Linked DNA regions of Arabidopsis thaliana. The protein of the gene in region 1 interacts with the protein of each later gene in a biochemical or structural test. Each region holds a gene or a part of one and is shown on either strand. Other genes may lie near its edges.

Region 1 (6,707 bases):
AAAAGCTGAGATTTTAGAGTATTCTGGTTCTTGTTGATTGGTCCTGAGTCATGTGAGAAAAGATCAGTCATTATCATATCGGTAGGCGATGTAATAGTCTTATTGATGTCATATATGCAGCTAAATCTGAAGAAGGCTACAATCTTATAGTTATTGATCCGCCTTGGGAAAATGCAAGTGCTCATCAGAAATCAAAGTTCGTTATCTACTTAATGTATGCATGTGGATAAGTATTTTTTGTATCTGAAAGTTCATGACCAATGTTTCTTGGTTCTTTGTTTTAGGTATCCTACTTTACCGAACCAATACTTCTTATCTCTTCCGATCAAGCAGCTTGCTCATGCTGAAGGAGCTCTCGTGGCTTTGTGGGTGACAAATAGAGAGAAATTACTAAGTTTTGTTGAGAAAGAGCTATTCCCTGCGTGGGGAATTAAGTATGTAGCTACAATGTATTGGTTAAAGGTGAGCTCATCTTGCAGCTCTCAGTCCCCATCTTGGTTTCTGAGTTGCACATATGACTTGACATTTTACATACTTGCTATGTAAATGTTTCAGGTGAAACCGGATGGTACACTGATTTGCGACCTGGACCTGGTCCATCATAAACCTTATGAGTACCTTCTACTAGGCTACCATTTTACCGAAGTAAGTCAATTCATTTTTTTGTCACTTGAATAATCTGAGAAAGGAACTTCTGTTTGAACAGCCATGTTGTGTATACATGTCATAGCTTGCAGGATCAGAAAAGAGGTCAGATTTTAAACTCTTGGACAAGAACCAGATAATCATGAGCATCCCTGGTGATTTTTCGAGGAAACCCCCAATTGGAGGTATTCTTATGTTTATATTTTCAACAGCTTTGTTCTGCGATTGGCTTCATCAAATTCAAGAGTAGATAATGCAATTTTTTCAAATTCTTGGTCTAAAGCTCCCCTGATTCTTGTTTGTTTCCACTTGGACTTTGTGTAGATATACTACTGAAACACACTCCCGGGTCTCAACCTGCTCGGTGCCTTGAGCTATTTGCGAGGGAAATGGCTGCCGGATGGACCTCTTGGGGAAACGAACCGCTTCACTTTCAGGACTCGAGATACTTTTTGAAAGTTTAGTGGGCGCATTCCCTAGGGTGTAACCAAGAAAAAGGCTGGCTTGGGCCCTCATGATCGTTTTTCTCTATGACTCATTCTCAAGCTGGGGACAGTTAGGAGAGAACCCTTGGAAAGAAGTGGAAGGTTCGGTTCATCGCAAACGACATCGTTTGAAGAAGACAACACTAGAGTAAGCCTGAAAAAAGTATAGTGTTACTAAAGATTATTTTGTCTCAGAACTGTACCATCAATTTAGTAAGCTTTTTCCTTTTCCTTTCATAAACAGATGATGTTTCAGATAAAATTTAAATATATTATCAGTACAGTAAGATTACATACTATATTAGTATCACTATTCTGCTATTCACTAGATTTCTTTTTCTTTTTCAACAAAATATGAATAAAATAAAGGCAAAAGCGTGTTAAATATAAATTCAATAAGTGACTACTCGTTGGAAGATCATATCTGCTTTGATGGGTCTATTTGTGGGGCAAATCCACTATCCAGTTTTCCTTTTGTGTTCAATGAACTATACAATTGTCAAAAAAAAAAAAACATGAGAATTAAAGAAAATCATCATGACCAATGAAGAGCAGGTCCCAACAATAATTCCGAATTATAGGCTCTGATTGTTATAGCAATCAAACAATATGCTTACAAATCACAAAACAAAATTAACGATATTTCCAAATATAGAGCTTTCCAGTTTGACTTAATAATGTTGTGTGAATATCCTCACATTTCCATTTTCGACTCTCTTTAGTAAATTTTGAAGTAGTAGAATGATGTAGAATGTTTTGTTTTATCAATCACACAGTTTTGTGAAATCACGATTTCCATCCACTATTCAAGAAAAACATCAAGTGGAAGAAATAATAAACCAAAACCATCGCAACAAAATGCATATCACGAGTATAGAATGAACAAACTACACTGTCAAATACTTAATTTAGGACTTAAACTTCGCTTTCAGACAACTTGGTTCGGAAACTTGACCATCCGTCATGTTGATATACACAATCCATCTCAAATGTAGTAGTGAATCACTATATCAGCATGTGTTATCAAACGCAAGTTGTCACTAAGATCGGAGCTTCTAGTTCAAAATGTTGATAAGTATTACGAAAGTACAATTGAATATACCAATTATACATCCAAACACGTCCATGCTTCTCCACTCGAGTTCTCTTTGGAAATCTATATAATCCGTCGGTTTGGTATTTTACTAGTTGTACGTAGTGTCTCCCCTCATATGTATTGAGTCTTTATAGTTTGTTGCCTCGTATACGATAGAAAGTAAAGGCTAAAAAACCATACTATTTCATAAAGGGTTTATTTAGTTAACTTTTAATCTAAACCATGTATCACTCCATTTTACGTATATTCGTTTTCACAAATAATCTACTAAATAATTTTGTAATGTGATAAAATTAAAGAATAAACACATGATACATAAACAGTCAGGACAAAAGTAAGCACTCATTTTCTTCTATTCATACTATAGTGAAACACTATTTTATTTTTATCCATATACTATAGTGACAAATTAATCTAATCATTAAATGTTATGAGGCTCAAAACAATTTGTTTTCTTATTTAACATGGCCGATCCCCTCATAAACCAATCAGATGGTGTGTTTTCCGGTCATACTCGTGTAGGACCCACTTCATTACAATGGCCCCACATGTCTCTCTATCTTTTTCTCCTCTTTATAAAATCAGCTCCTTTTCTTACACAGATTTAGAGAAACACAACATAAAACGTACTTCTTCTTCAAAACGCGAAACCACACTGTAAGTTACGTACACCACCACCTATCCTCACCATTCATCATCGACACGTGGCTGGTTTAACTCAAATCAACGGTGAATTCTTTTTGCTTTTTTATTTTAAATAATGAATGAAAAGATTCTTCTATAATTCCAGCGAAGAAGAAAGAAAAAAAAAAGCGTATTCCTCGTGAGCACTAACTTCTCACTCATTCTTCTTCTTCAGCTGAATCCAAATACCCATTTCCATTTTTAACCGTGGTTGGATTGTTTTGAGAGTTGAAGGAAGAAGATGACGTCTGACGGAGCAACGTCGACGTCAGCTGCAGCTGCAGCAGCAGCGATGGCGACGAGGAGGAAACCGTCGTGGAGAGAGAGGGAGAACAATCGGAGAAGAGAGCGGCGGAGAAGAGCTGTTGCGGCGAAGATTTATACTGGTCTTAGAGCTCAAGGTAACTACAATCTTCCAAAACATTGTGACAACAATGAGGTTCTTAAGGCTCTTTGTTCTGAAGCTGGTTGGGTTGTTGAAGAAGACGGAACTACTTATCGCAAGGTCAGTATCAAACGCATTTTTACTTAGATCTGATGTTATCTGATGATTTAGCTGTTGAATCTGAAGATTTGGATTTGAAATTGGTCAAATTGGGATTTTCTTGGCTATGAATTCGAGGTTTTTAGCTGAGGAAGCTCAGTTTTATTCTAAAATTGGATCGAGATTCCTTGCGGAGAAAGTGACCTTTAGGGTTCTTCTTACTAATTTGAGAACCGAATTAGCTTTACTTTCACTTGGTTACTATATTTAGATCTCTCCTTTAGCTTTTGATTGATTGTGACATTGTGATGTTTTTGGTATTGTTCTATGAGCAACAGGGACACAAGCCTCTACCTGGTGACATGGCTGGATCATCTTCTCGAGCAACTCCTTACTCTTCCCATAACCAAAGTCCTCTTTCTTCCACTTTTGATAGCCCCATCTTATCTTACCAAGTCAGTCCTTCCTCTTCTTCATTCCCGAGTCCTTCTCGAGTTGGTGATCCACACAATATCTCCACAATCTTCCCTTTCCTCAGGAATGGTGGTATTCCTTCATCGCTTCCTCCACTTAGAATCTCAAACAGTGCTCCTGTCACTCCACCAGTGTCATCCCCAACTTCTAGAAACCCCAAACCATTGCCTACTTGGGAATCTTTTACCAAACAATCCATGTCCATGGCTGCTAAACAGTCAATGACTTCTTTGAACTACCCGTTTTATGCGGTGTCTGCACCTGCCAGTCCTACTCATCATCGCCAGTTCCATGCTCCGGCTACTATACCTGAATGTGATGAGTCTGACTCTTCCACTGTTGATTCTGGTCATTGGATAAGCTTTCAAAAGTTTGCACAACAACAGCCATTCTCTGCCTCTATGGTGCCAACCTCGCCTACCTTCAATCTCGTGAAACCTGCACCACAGCAATTGTCTCCAAACACAGCAGCAATCCAAGAGATTGGTCAAAGCTCCGAGTTTAAGTTTGAGAACAGCCAAGTTAAGCCATGGGAAGGGGAGAGGATCCATGATGTGGCTATGGAGGATCTAGAGCTCACGCTTGGAAATGGTAAAGCTCATAGTTGAGATGAAGTATACATGAACCTGTTATGTCATGTCGGAAGGAAGGATTGGAGAATGAGAATTAGTGTGTTGTTCATTCAGTTCATGGTTTTGGTTCTTGTTCTAGAATCGATATTCATTGTACCAGTGAGTTTGTTTCACAACGCATTATTTGTAGATAGAATGTTTAAGATGTATGTTTCTATTATCATTCCTTTTAGGTCTTGAAAACATTACAAATATATTACATGATTAAGTGGCTTGAAATGTAAATTATATATCGGATGATGAAACAGAGAAAAACAAGTGAGGCTAAAACAAAGACTTGGGATGTAATAACAAGATCAGAGAGGTTAAGAAAGAAAAAAAAGACTTGCGATTTTAGCCATAAGATACACAAAAATTCATAATACAAAGAGGAAAGTAGAAGGCATGAAGCAGTAAACATTGGAAAAGGGAGAAATATATTAGAATCACAAATGTCAAGAAACTCGGAAAGTTTTTTTTAGCCTATCTGCTTTTCAGGTGAATCATTCAGAACCATCGGGGAAGCTATCAAGCGCGTCTTGCTTACCGTTAACGTAGAACTCAACGACGGCTTGCATTCTATTGAGCTTATCTGGATGGTAATTCACATGAACAATCACTGGTTTCACTTTCTTCTTCAGTTCATGATTCTTTCTTACAGTCTTGAAAAGGACCTTACTGTTCATAAACTCATACATATCCATGACTCTCTTGGATGCATGTAGCGCAGTGTACTCAGGATGTGAAGGATAAAACAGTTCCTCGTTGAAAACCGCTTGGTCCCACACTTTAGCCTTAGAGAGTCTATCTGCCACGCGATCAAGCAGCTCGATTGATGGAATTGTAGGCCTCAAATAGAAAAACCCGGAATTGAAAACCCATATCCTCATAGTGTGAGCATACCGAGCCCATCCCATGGCTGGTTCATCAAACACATCATTGAACCCATAAGCCGTATGATTGTCATGGCCATCACTCATTGACTCCACATCAGAGTCTCTGTATAGATGACTAAATGGGTTCTGCAAGAAGACAATGTCCACATCCGAGAGAAGAACACCATAACCGAGTTGCAAGAACTCTCTTAACACACGGAATTTCAATCCAGAGACAGCATGGTTACCTCCAGTTTTCCCAACAGTATCCACGTCCTTGTCTGGATCTCTCTTGTAATACGCAACATCGTTCTCTTTACATAAATTCTCTATGTAATCGTCCAAAGCAACAACCAGATAGTTTGTTATACCCACTCTCTTAATGCTAGCAATCTGAACCTCCAACATTGCTTTCACATTTGCGTTTGCAAGAGCTACAATTACCTCTTTATCAACAGCAATCTCCTCTAGAATCTTTGCCAATCTTGGGTTTATAGATTCATCAGGAAGAATAGTTGGATTAGTTCTCAGACTCTTGACAGTTCCAAAAGGACCAGCCTTGATCTGTGTTCCCAATGCTAGAACCTGTTTTCTTGCATTGTCTGATCCTTGCTCCGCTAACCGTAGCTTCTCTGTTAACTCTCTGACCTGCTTCTTTAACTCTGCATTCTTCTCTGAGAGAGTTACAAAGTCTGATTTTAGCATTTTCACTCGTTCTGGCGATTCACAAGCTGATGATCCAACCTAGACAAAGCAAGTGTGGAATTTATAAACCACTCAACTAAATTCCAAATTAAGATACAAAATCCAGTAATCAACCAAACCAGTATCATGATAAACTTCACCCTAATCTCCAACTAACACATCACCAAGAAGAATTTCTATGTTTAGACACTAACCACTTAATAACACCTATAATGGCAGAGTCAAACATCAATCTATGTAAAACTCGACCACAGAACCACAAAAATTAGAGCTTTAGAGGTTTATGTAGTACCTGGTTGCTTGACTTCGAAAGATGTTCGCTTGCTTTGAGAGATGAGCTTGAGTTGAAGAACCCGTAAGGGAACAGAACGGCGCACACGCAACCGATAAAGATACCGATGAGGATGGCGATCGCAATTCGAGATCCACGGAGTTGTTGGCTTCTATCTCTACGACCCGCCATGGCCGTTGACTTTTCTCTTCCTTATAGCGAAATCAGAAGCCAAAGACCCAGAAGCTCAAAATGAAAAAGGACTCCTTTTTGATCACCTAGTTGAAGAAAGTTTTGGTAATGTGGTGGATCAGAGTTAAACCCTAGAAATGTTCTGTTTTTCTTCGGAGGTCTCGGTCATACCTGCCGGCTTTTGA
Region 2 (7,005 bases), on another chromosome or scaffold:
CCTTTATCTGCGGAAACCTGAAATCTGTGTAATGCGTGGATTCATACAACGGATTTCTTCTCGAATTGGTGTACCAAGAACCTATGTACAACAACTTCATACAATGAGGATTTTGTAGCCAAAGAATGTAATTTGCAAGGAACCATTGTACAGCATTTTCTCCGGGAATTAATGGCTGCATAAGAACAATGAGTCCTAATGCGAATAGAAGACAAACATTCAAAAGAAAAAACCAAAGACCCCTTAAACTGCATAAACTGCAGAGCTCCCTCTTATGAAACGAAACACTTTGACTAGATTCTTTAAACGCAGATTTAGAAACACCATTCAATGAAGCAACTTGAAAACGATCATCGTATTGAAATTACAATCTACTAATATCTCGAGTTTGTGATAGAAAATTGACACGAATACTGATTCTATACAATAATGAAACTCATGACTAAATCTCTGCAGCTAACTAAATGATGATCATATCTGCTGATGAAAGCATCTTCACGCGACTCTCTTCCTTAAATCTTGCTCTCTCTTTAATCCTTTGAACCTCCTTCTGAATCTTCTCACTCCCCATCTCTTCCTTCTCCATCTTCACTAATCTCTCCCCACTAATCTCACCAAGTAACACTTTCCTCCTCAAATCTGGATTGTTACTATCTCCCATGTTGAACAGAATAGACCGGTACTTTGCTTTTTGAGGTCCCATGAAACAACCTAAGTTCTCAAACATTGCAGTTTCCACAGATACAGCCACAACCCAAGGATCACAAGCAGTCACTCGTGTCTTCATCTCCGTGTCAACAACCTCAGAAGCGACTTTAGCCAAAGATGTTTGTAGAATCTCACGCACTTTGTCTCGCTTTGAATCTCCAGTCTTCTTCATCGTTGCGTGCGTCGGGATCTTCACCGCAGCTTCTCTATTATCACGGCTCTTTTCTCTACCTGAAGCGTAAAAAAACTTCATCCAAAGATCCCGAAGAATCCTTCCTTCCGATCGAATTTTAGGGTTTTTGTGATCGATGAAGAATTCCAAACCCTGCCCCATGGAGGTTTTGCAGACCACGTCACAAACAAGTGACTTGGGTGCTTCCTTCAAACGATTCATGGCATCGACAAACCTCGATACCTCTGGAGAATTCTCATCACCTTTCACAGACTTAGCCGCTCTAAGTGCTGCCTCGAACAACTCCATGAACTCACGCTTCTGCATCCTTCTCTGTTTGATCGGTCTTTTGTGTACGTACGTGTTTGATCTCTCGATAATAACTAGGGTTTCAAAAGCAACGAAGGAGAAGAGAAATTAGTAAATTGTTGCGTATGGTCTCTCGATCTATCTGATGTTGTTTATATAAAGACTAAGAGTCCAAGACCAGATAGGTTTTGTTAGTTTCGGATACTTTAATTGCTTGCTATCAAAGCCTTTCCCAAATATATTTTTTTTCTAAAAGGAGATGAATTTAACCTGATATAGGTCCCGCCTTTAGAAAATGTATGGTCTTTTAACTTGAACTAACAGATATTTAAAAAAAAAAAAGAAAAAAAAAGTCATGTAATTTTCTTTTTGTTTTAAAAATCCAATAAGTAATTCAATATCTGAAATTCTGAATTAAGAATTATATATTTGTAAATTTTCATTATTTAAAAATTTCTTCGAATCTTAAAACATATAAATACATAAATCAAATTTCCATGAGAGATAAAAAAAATTCACTTATTTATTTATAGGGTATTTATATGAGTAGCGAGATATTATTTTTGTAATGATTCGTGCAATTAAATTGAGTGAAAATTTAATACAAATATACTTATGCTTAAAGCAAAACCATGTATCCATTCATGAAGTGTTTGAAAAAAAAAAAAAGTGTTTGAAAGAAGCTCCTCGTTGAAAGAGTATCACTTTGATTACATTCTTCACCTTCTGCCCAAACTTTACTATATAAAAAAACTTCTGACTAAACTCATTTACATAAGGGGGAAAGAAAGAAGAAATGAAGCAAAGAGGAGACTGTGTTTTTCACCAAACTTGAAAAGAGAAGAGAAATAAGCAGATACAACACTGGAGAGTTTTTGTTTTCGCAGATTTGGGGGAGTTGGTTTTGCTAGCAGCTGGCTTTGTCTGAACGAGTTTGAGGAGGAAAAACTTTGAATTGTGTCCTCCACGTTTGCCTTCAACTACGACCTTGTGGCTCGTGTAATGGTACATTATATATAAAAAAGTAGTTGTCTTTTGCAGGATCCCTTTTAAGTTCCAGATTGATTCAAGAAGCTTAGACCCAATTGTCTCTTGATATGGTCTGGAATCAACTTGTTGACCAGTTCAGGTGATGATCCAGCTACTTCTTGTTTGAAGTTGAAGAGAGGCGGGAAAGGCCGTCCATTTGGTAAACGAGCGTTTGGTTCTCTGAGTTCATCAAAGAACGGATGTGCACAAGCTTCGAGCTGAAATACGAGGAAACAAAATATATAGTAAGGATTCAGTTGGATTCTTAGAGACTGAAGAAACCTCAAGACCAATGCTTACCGCTGTGCATCTTAGACTTGGAGAGTATTGAAGCAGCCTTGATGCAAAATCAATCGCTTCTGGGGGCATCCTTTTGTGGAAGATCTAAACCAAAACGTAATTATGATCAGTTGATGTGTGAAGAAAGAAACTGAAACAAGAACACATGCAAAAAGAGAAAAGACACTAACCTTGTGCCAGGGATGTGCCTTTATCTGTGGAAACCTGAAATCTGTGTAATGTGGATTCATACAACGGATTTCTTCTCGAGTTGGTGTACCAAGAACCTGTGTACAACAACTATACAGTGAGGATTTTGTAGCCAAAGAATGTAATTTGCAAGGAATCATCGTTTAAAGATTCTTACTTTTATAATTTCAACGAGCTGATCCACAGCATTTTCTCCGGGAAATAATGGCTGCATAAGAACATGATATAGTCACAATGAGTCCTAATGCAAATATACACATGGAGATTGAATAAGCTGGTTACTGAAAGAATTGTTTACCTGACCAAGAAGAAGCTCAGCAAGAACACAACCAGCAGACCAGATATCAATAGAAGTTGTGTACTCAGTGGCACCAAATATGAGCTCGGGTGCACGGTAGAATCGTGAGCAGATGTAAGAAATGTTGGCTTCACCTTTAACCTGAAGCAAAAGTAAATTTCAACAGTAAATGACAAGATCACAGAAAACAACAACCGCTACAAGTCGAATGAGTTTATATGTCACAAAGTCTTACGAGCTGTTTCGCACTGCCAAAGTCACAGATTTTGACTTGATGAGTAAGAGGATCAACCTATAGAAAGAGACCAGAAGAGATACATTAAGAACGAAAGAAACAAAGGCAAGAAAAAAAACAAAGAGTTCAATCTTAAAATGTTACACATACCAGAAGATTTTGAGGCTTTAGATCTCTGTGACAAACTCCAGCAACATTGTGAATGTAAGCAAGTCCCCGGAAGATCTAACATAACAAAAGGAAGTAATATCAGCCTAAGAACAATCTTATGTACATCAACTTTGGAAATGGAAGATATGAATGTGTGTTGTTATTACCTGATACATGTAAAGTTTAACATAGACAAGAGGCATTCTTTGGTTTGCACTACTATAATGTTTCAGAACTCGATACAAGCTCTCAGGGACATACTCCATAACCAAGTTCAAGAAAAGCTCGTCTTTACTTGTAGTCGAAAAGAAGCAATGCTTCAAACAAACCACATTCGGATGATCCATCACACGCATCAACTGAAGTTCTCGGTTCTTGTATCTTCTATCTTGCAAAACCTTCTTTATCGCCACGGTTTCTCCAGTCTCCAAACATTTTGCTTGGAAAACGATCCCGAACGAGCCTGTACCAACAACTCGCTCCGCCATGTAACTAATTGTCTAACAACAACATAGAAAAATGTATTGGTAACCATCAAAATCTTGCATATACATAAAAGTGAGTCTATTTGGTTAAAAGCCTTAAAAATACCTGTTTTGGTTCACCATTTTTGCCACCGATTGTGGTGGAAATAATATGACCAGTGACTTGATCATGTCCATCAACTACAGCAGCAGGCATCTCCTGAAAGAGAAAAGCTTTAATATCAGCACAAAACCATTATCAAAAGCTAAAAGAATAATGCTTGTCTGAGAATCAAAAGTCTAAAGAAGGAAACTTTTATCCTAAAAGAGTGGTTACAAAATAACCGTTACGCAGAGTGAATCTGATTTAGTTAAAACTAAAAATATATACTTTTGTCACGCCAAAAGAATGGTAAACAAAACAAATACATATAACAAACCAAACAAGGACTAATCTATGTTCAATTATGGATCTAGCAGCTTGTATAAACTCTGGATTAATCACAGATCGAGATATATAGACATGGATCATCCCAACAGAGCTAACTTAGAAAATTCTAAGCTCAGAACTCAAAACCCTCAGAGATCTCAGGGTAAGTCAAAAAGTTAACGAAAGCTCAAAACTTTGGACAAACCCAGAACTCAAAACCGTTCAACTTCAAGAGTACTAACTAAACTAGATTTATTATCACAAAACATCTGTAAGAACAGGAATCTCAAGACAACTAATTGAAGGGTCAAATGTGGAAAAACCAAAAAACAGGATCTTCTTCTTCAAAAGACAGCAAAAGGAACACAAGCAGCTTTACCTTATCATCAGCCATGGCGATAGAGACACAGAGAGGAGAAGAGAAAAGAAAGAGAGAGAGTGGATTTGAGAGAGAGAGAACAAATGAGTTTCAATCAGTTTGGTTGGTAATGATCATTGTGGCGATAGAGAGAGAAAGGGAAGCCGCAAGATGAGAAAAGAAGGAGAGAGAAAGAACAAGACCATGTGAATCCAGCTCTTCTCTTTCTCTTTCTTTATCTATCTACTACTTTCCGTTTTCTTCGCCATCTTCTTTCGTGTTTTTTATTTGTTAAGCTACAATTACGTAAACACCCTTGAAATTGCTGGTTAATTACGCAGACACGGACTCTTTGTGGAAATTTCGTGATCAAAGGGAAGGCATCATGTACTTGTCGGTCAAATTTGAATCATGTATTCGTTTGGTTTAAGGTCTAAATTGACATTTCATGTAATCTCATAAAATGTTAGAATGCTAGAATTGTCAATGTCTCAAATTTTCACTATCATAAAGTTTATAAGAGGACTGAATATTTATCATATTCGTTGTATTTAGTTAATAAAATGAATGTAATATCACTCATTATTGTAAAAAAAATCAAAGATTAGTCAATACAAGTTAGTTTTACATTATTATAATTTGTTCACAAGTTCGACTTCAAGCAATCTCGTTATCTAGCGTTGTAAAATTTTAGTAATGGATACTTGATCAAAATATTATCATTCCAATTTCATATAAGAAATTACTTGCAATAATTTTTTTTCCAGCGGTGACTTATATATATATTCCAAATTTTGGGTCTATTTTTTTTCTTAACACAAATTTTGGGTCTATTTTTTTTCTTAACACAAATTTTGGGTTTAATAATTATATCTAAGGTATGTGTATAAATAGAAAAGATAGGGCATGATGAAATTGGAACAATATTGTCAAAGATCCAAGTTTGACCATTTGGTGGGAAAACTTCTTTTTTGACATTGATGAAAGAAAAAAGCATTTATGTTTCTTTGGGTCTTAACTTTTTAATGTTTTTATTTTATAATTAAAATTTTAGACTTAAAAATGAGCTTTAATTATTACCTAATAGTGTAGCTTTACTTATTGTGTTTGTTTTTTTCTTTATATTTGTTTATTTATTTTTCTGGAAACATCAATATTAAAATCAATGATGATAATGATAGCAGTCCTAGCATTTGCAGAAGACAACAAAAATAATATTAATATAATTTCTTTTTGTTCAATTATGCATGGGACATACATACTTTTGGCTGTATGGACGGATTTACATTGCATATTTGTGAATTATCTTCAGGCTCAATTATTTAAATGTCGATATGCGTATTATCCAATCGTATATACAATAGCAACTAGATTATAAATGTTCATATACATTCGGTTTTAGCTGAAGATGTTAAATTGTCAATGTAGTAACTAGTAATTAAGTTGTTATTTTTCTCACAAAAAACAAAGTTTAAGTTGTTATGAGTGTTTTTGGTTCTATAGAAATTAGAAATGATATTAAGATTGTCCCCAAAAAAAAATGATATTAAGTTATTGTATATCTTTCTTGTTTCATTGTACGGATTAAACAAATCCCACGATTCTTGTTATATACAATAGTGTAATACTATTGGAGTGTAGGAAAATGAATCGAACCAAAAGCGGTCTCACTCAAGAAGCTTTTAGCCCTTTTTATTTTGGTAGATAATACATGTTTGTAAATAACTACATTAGATAAAAGATTATATAAATATATTTCTGTAAGGGATCTTGAATAACTCTTGAGGTATGGGAAATCACAATAACGTGCACCATGTGACTGAGGTTCGAACCAAGGCAGAGAATGAAGAACTAATTATTCATAACAGTCATTGACGATATATTTAATTTAAAAGATTGATAACATGAAAATGAGAGGCAAAGTTAAGTATAAAGACGAGAATAATGATTGGGTTTGTACGAAACGGAAGAGAAAATCCTATAACAAAAATTCTTTTTCCTAACTAACAGCCAACCGTCGGCAAAAAGAAATGAAAAAATTTGCAGGTAACCTCTTCATAAATCATAACTTCTCGAAGCATATTCTTGCCATTTCTTCAAGCATTCCAGCTAAACTATTGTCTACCTCCGTTAGTTTTTTTTTTTGTTTTTTTGATATATGATTCATCAGTTGATCCAGTTAGTTTTACTAAAAAGTTATTGAAGTATTATAGAATTGATTTTCTTTCCAGAGGCCTGAACGATAACCTCATTGTATAACCGAGTTTCAAATGTTTTTCGACTAATGTCAAGAAATCGGTAAATTGCATGTCTAAGTTAATTTTGCTATTGAACTTGTTTCTATATGATTATTATTGTAACTT

What was found. Proteins that work in one complex are often made in the same cells at the same time.
Region 2: of the proteins of BES1 (region 1) and BIN2, one has a biochemical effect on the other in vitro, tested with the Arabidopsis thaliana proteins (3 studies listed by BioGRID, with this or other methods).

The regions. Positions count from the first base shown.
Region 1 is NC_003070.9:6,685,690-6,692,396, forward strand, and holds BES1 (Brassinosteroid signaling positive regulator (BZR1) family protein), read left to right. Parts: upstream 1-2,845; 5' UTR 2,846-2,990; coding exon 2,991-3,049; exon of another isoform or gene 3,050-3,144; coding exon 3,145-3,415; intron 3,416-3,732; coding exon 3,733-4,476; 3' UTR 4,477-4,722; downstream 4,723-6,707. Other genes in the region: AT1G19340 (Methyltransferase MT-A70 family protein), read left to right, coding at 121-196, 285-462, 556-645, 731-830, 970-1,109; RRA3 (Nucleotide-diphospho-sugar transferase family protein), read right to left, coding at 4,983-6,098, 6,352-6,522. UniProt on the Arabidopsis thaliana protein: Positive regulator of brassinosteroid (BR) signaling. Transcription factor that activates target gene expression by binding specifically to the DNA sequence 5'-CANNTG-3'(E box) through its N-terminal domain.
Region 2 is NC_003075.7:10,294,147-10,301,151, reverse strand, and holds BIN2 (Protein kinase superfamily protein), read right to left. Parts: upstream 5,015-7,005; 5' UTR 4,679-5,014; coding exon 4,664-4,678; intron 4,627-4,663; exon of another isoform or gene 4,075-4,626; coding exon 3,982-4,074; intron 3,891-3,981; coding exon 3,558-3,890; intron 3,466-3,557; coding exon 3,391-3,465; intron 3,298-3,390; coding exon 3,241-3,297; intron 3,147-3,240; coding exon 3,006-3,146; intron 2,916-3,005; coding exon 2,865-2,915; intron 2,785-2,864; coding exon 2,689-2,784; intron 2,603-2,688; coding exon 2,519-2,602; intron 2,437-2,518; coding exon 2,239-2,436; 3' UTR 1,763-2,238; downstream 1-1,762. Other genes in the region: AT4G18720 (Transcription factor IIS protein), read right to left, coding at 1-81, 565-1,207. UniProt on the Arabidopsis thaliana protein: Negative regulator in brassinosteroid signal transduction pathway important for plant growth. May be also involved in auxin signaling pathway. Phosphorylates and increases the degradation of BZR1 and BZR2/BES1 by the proteasome.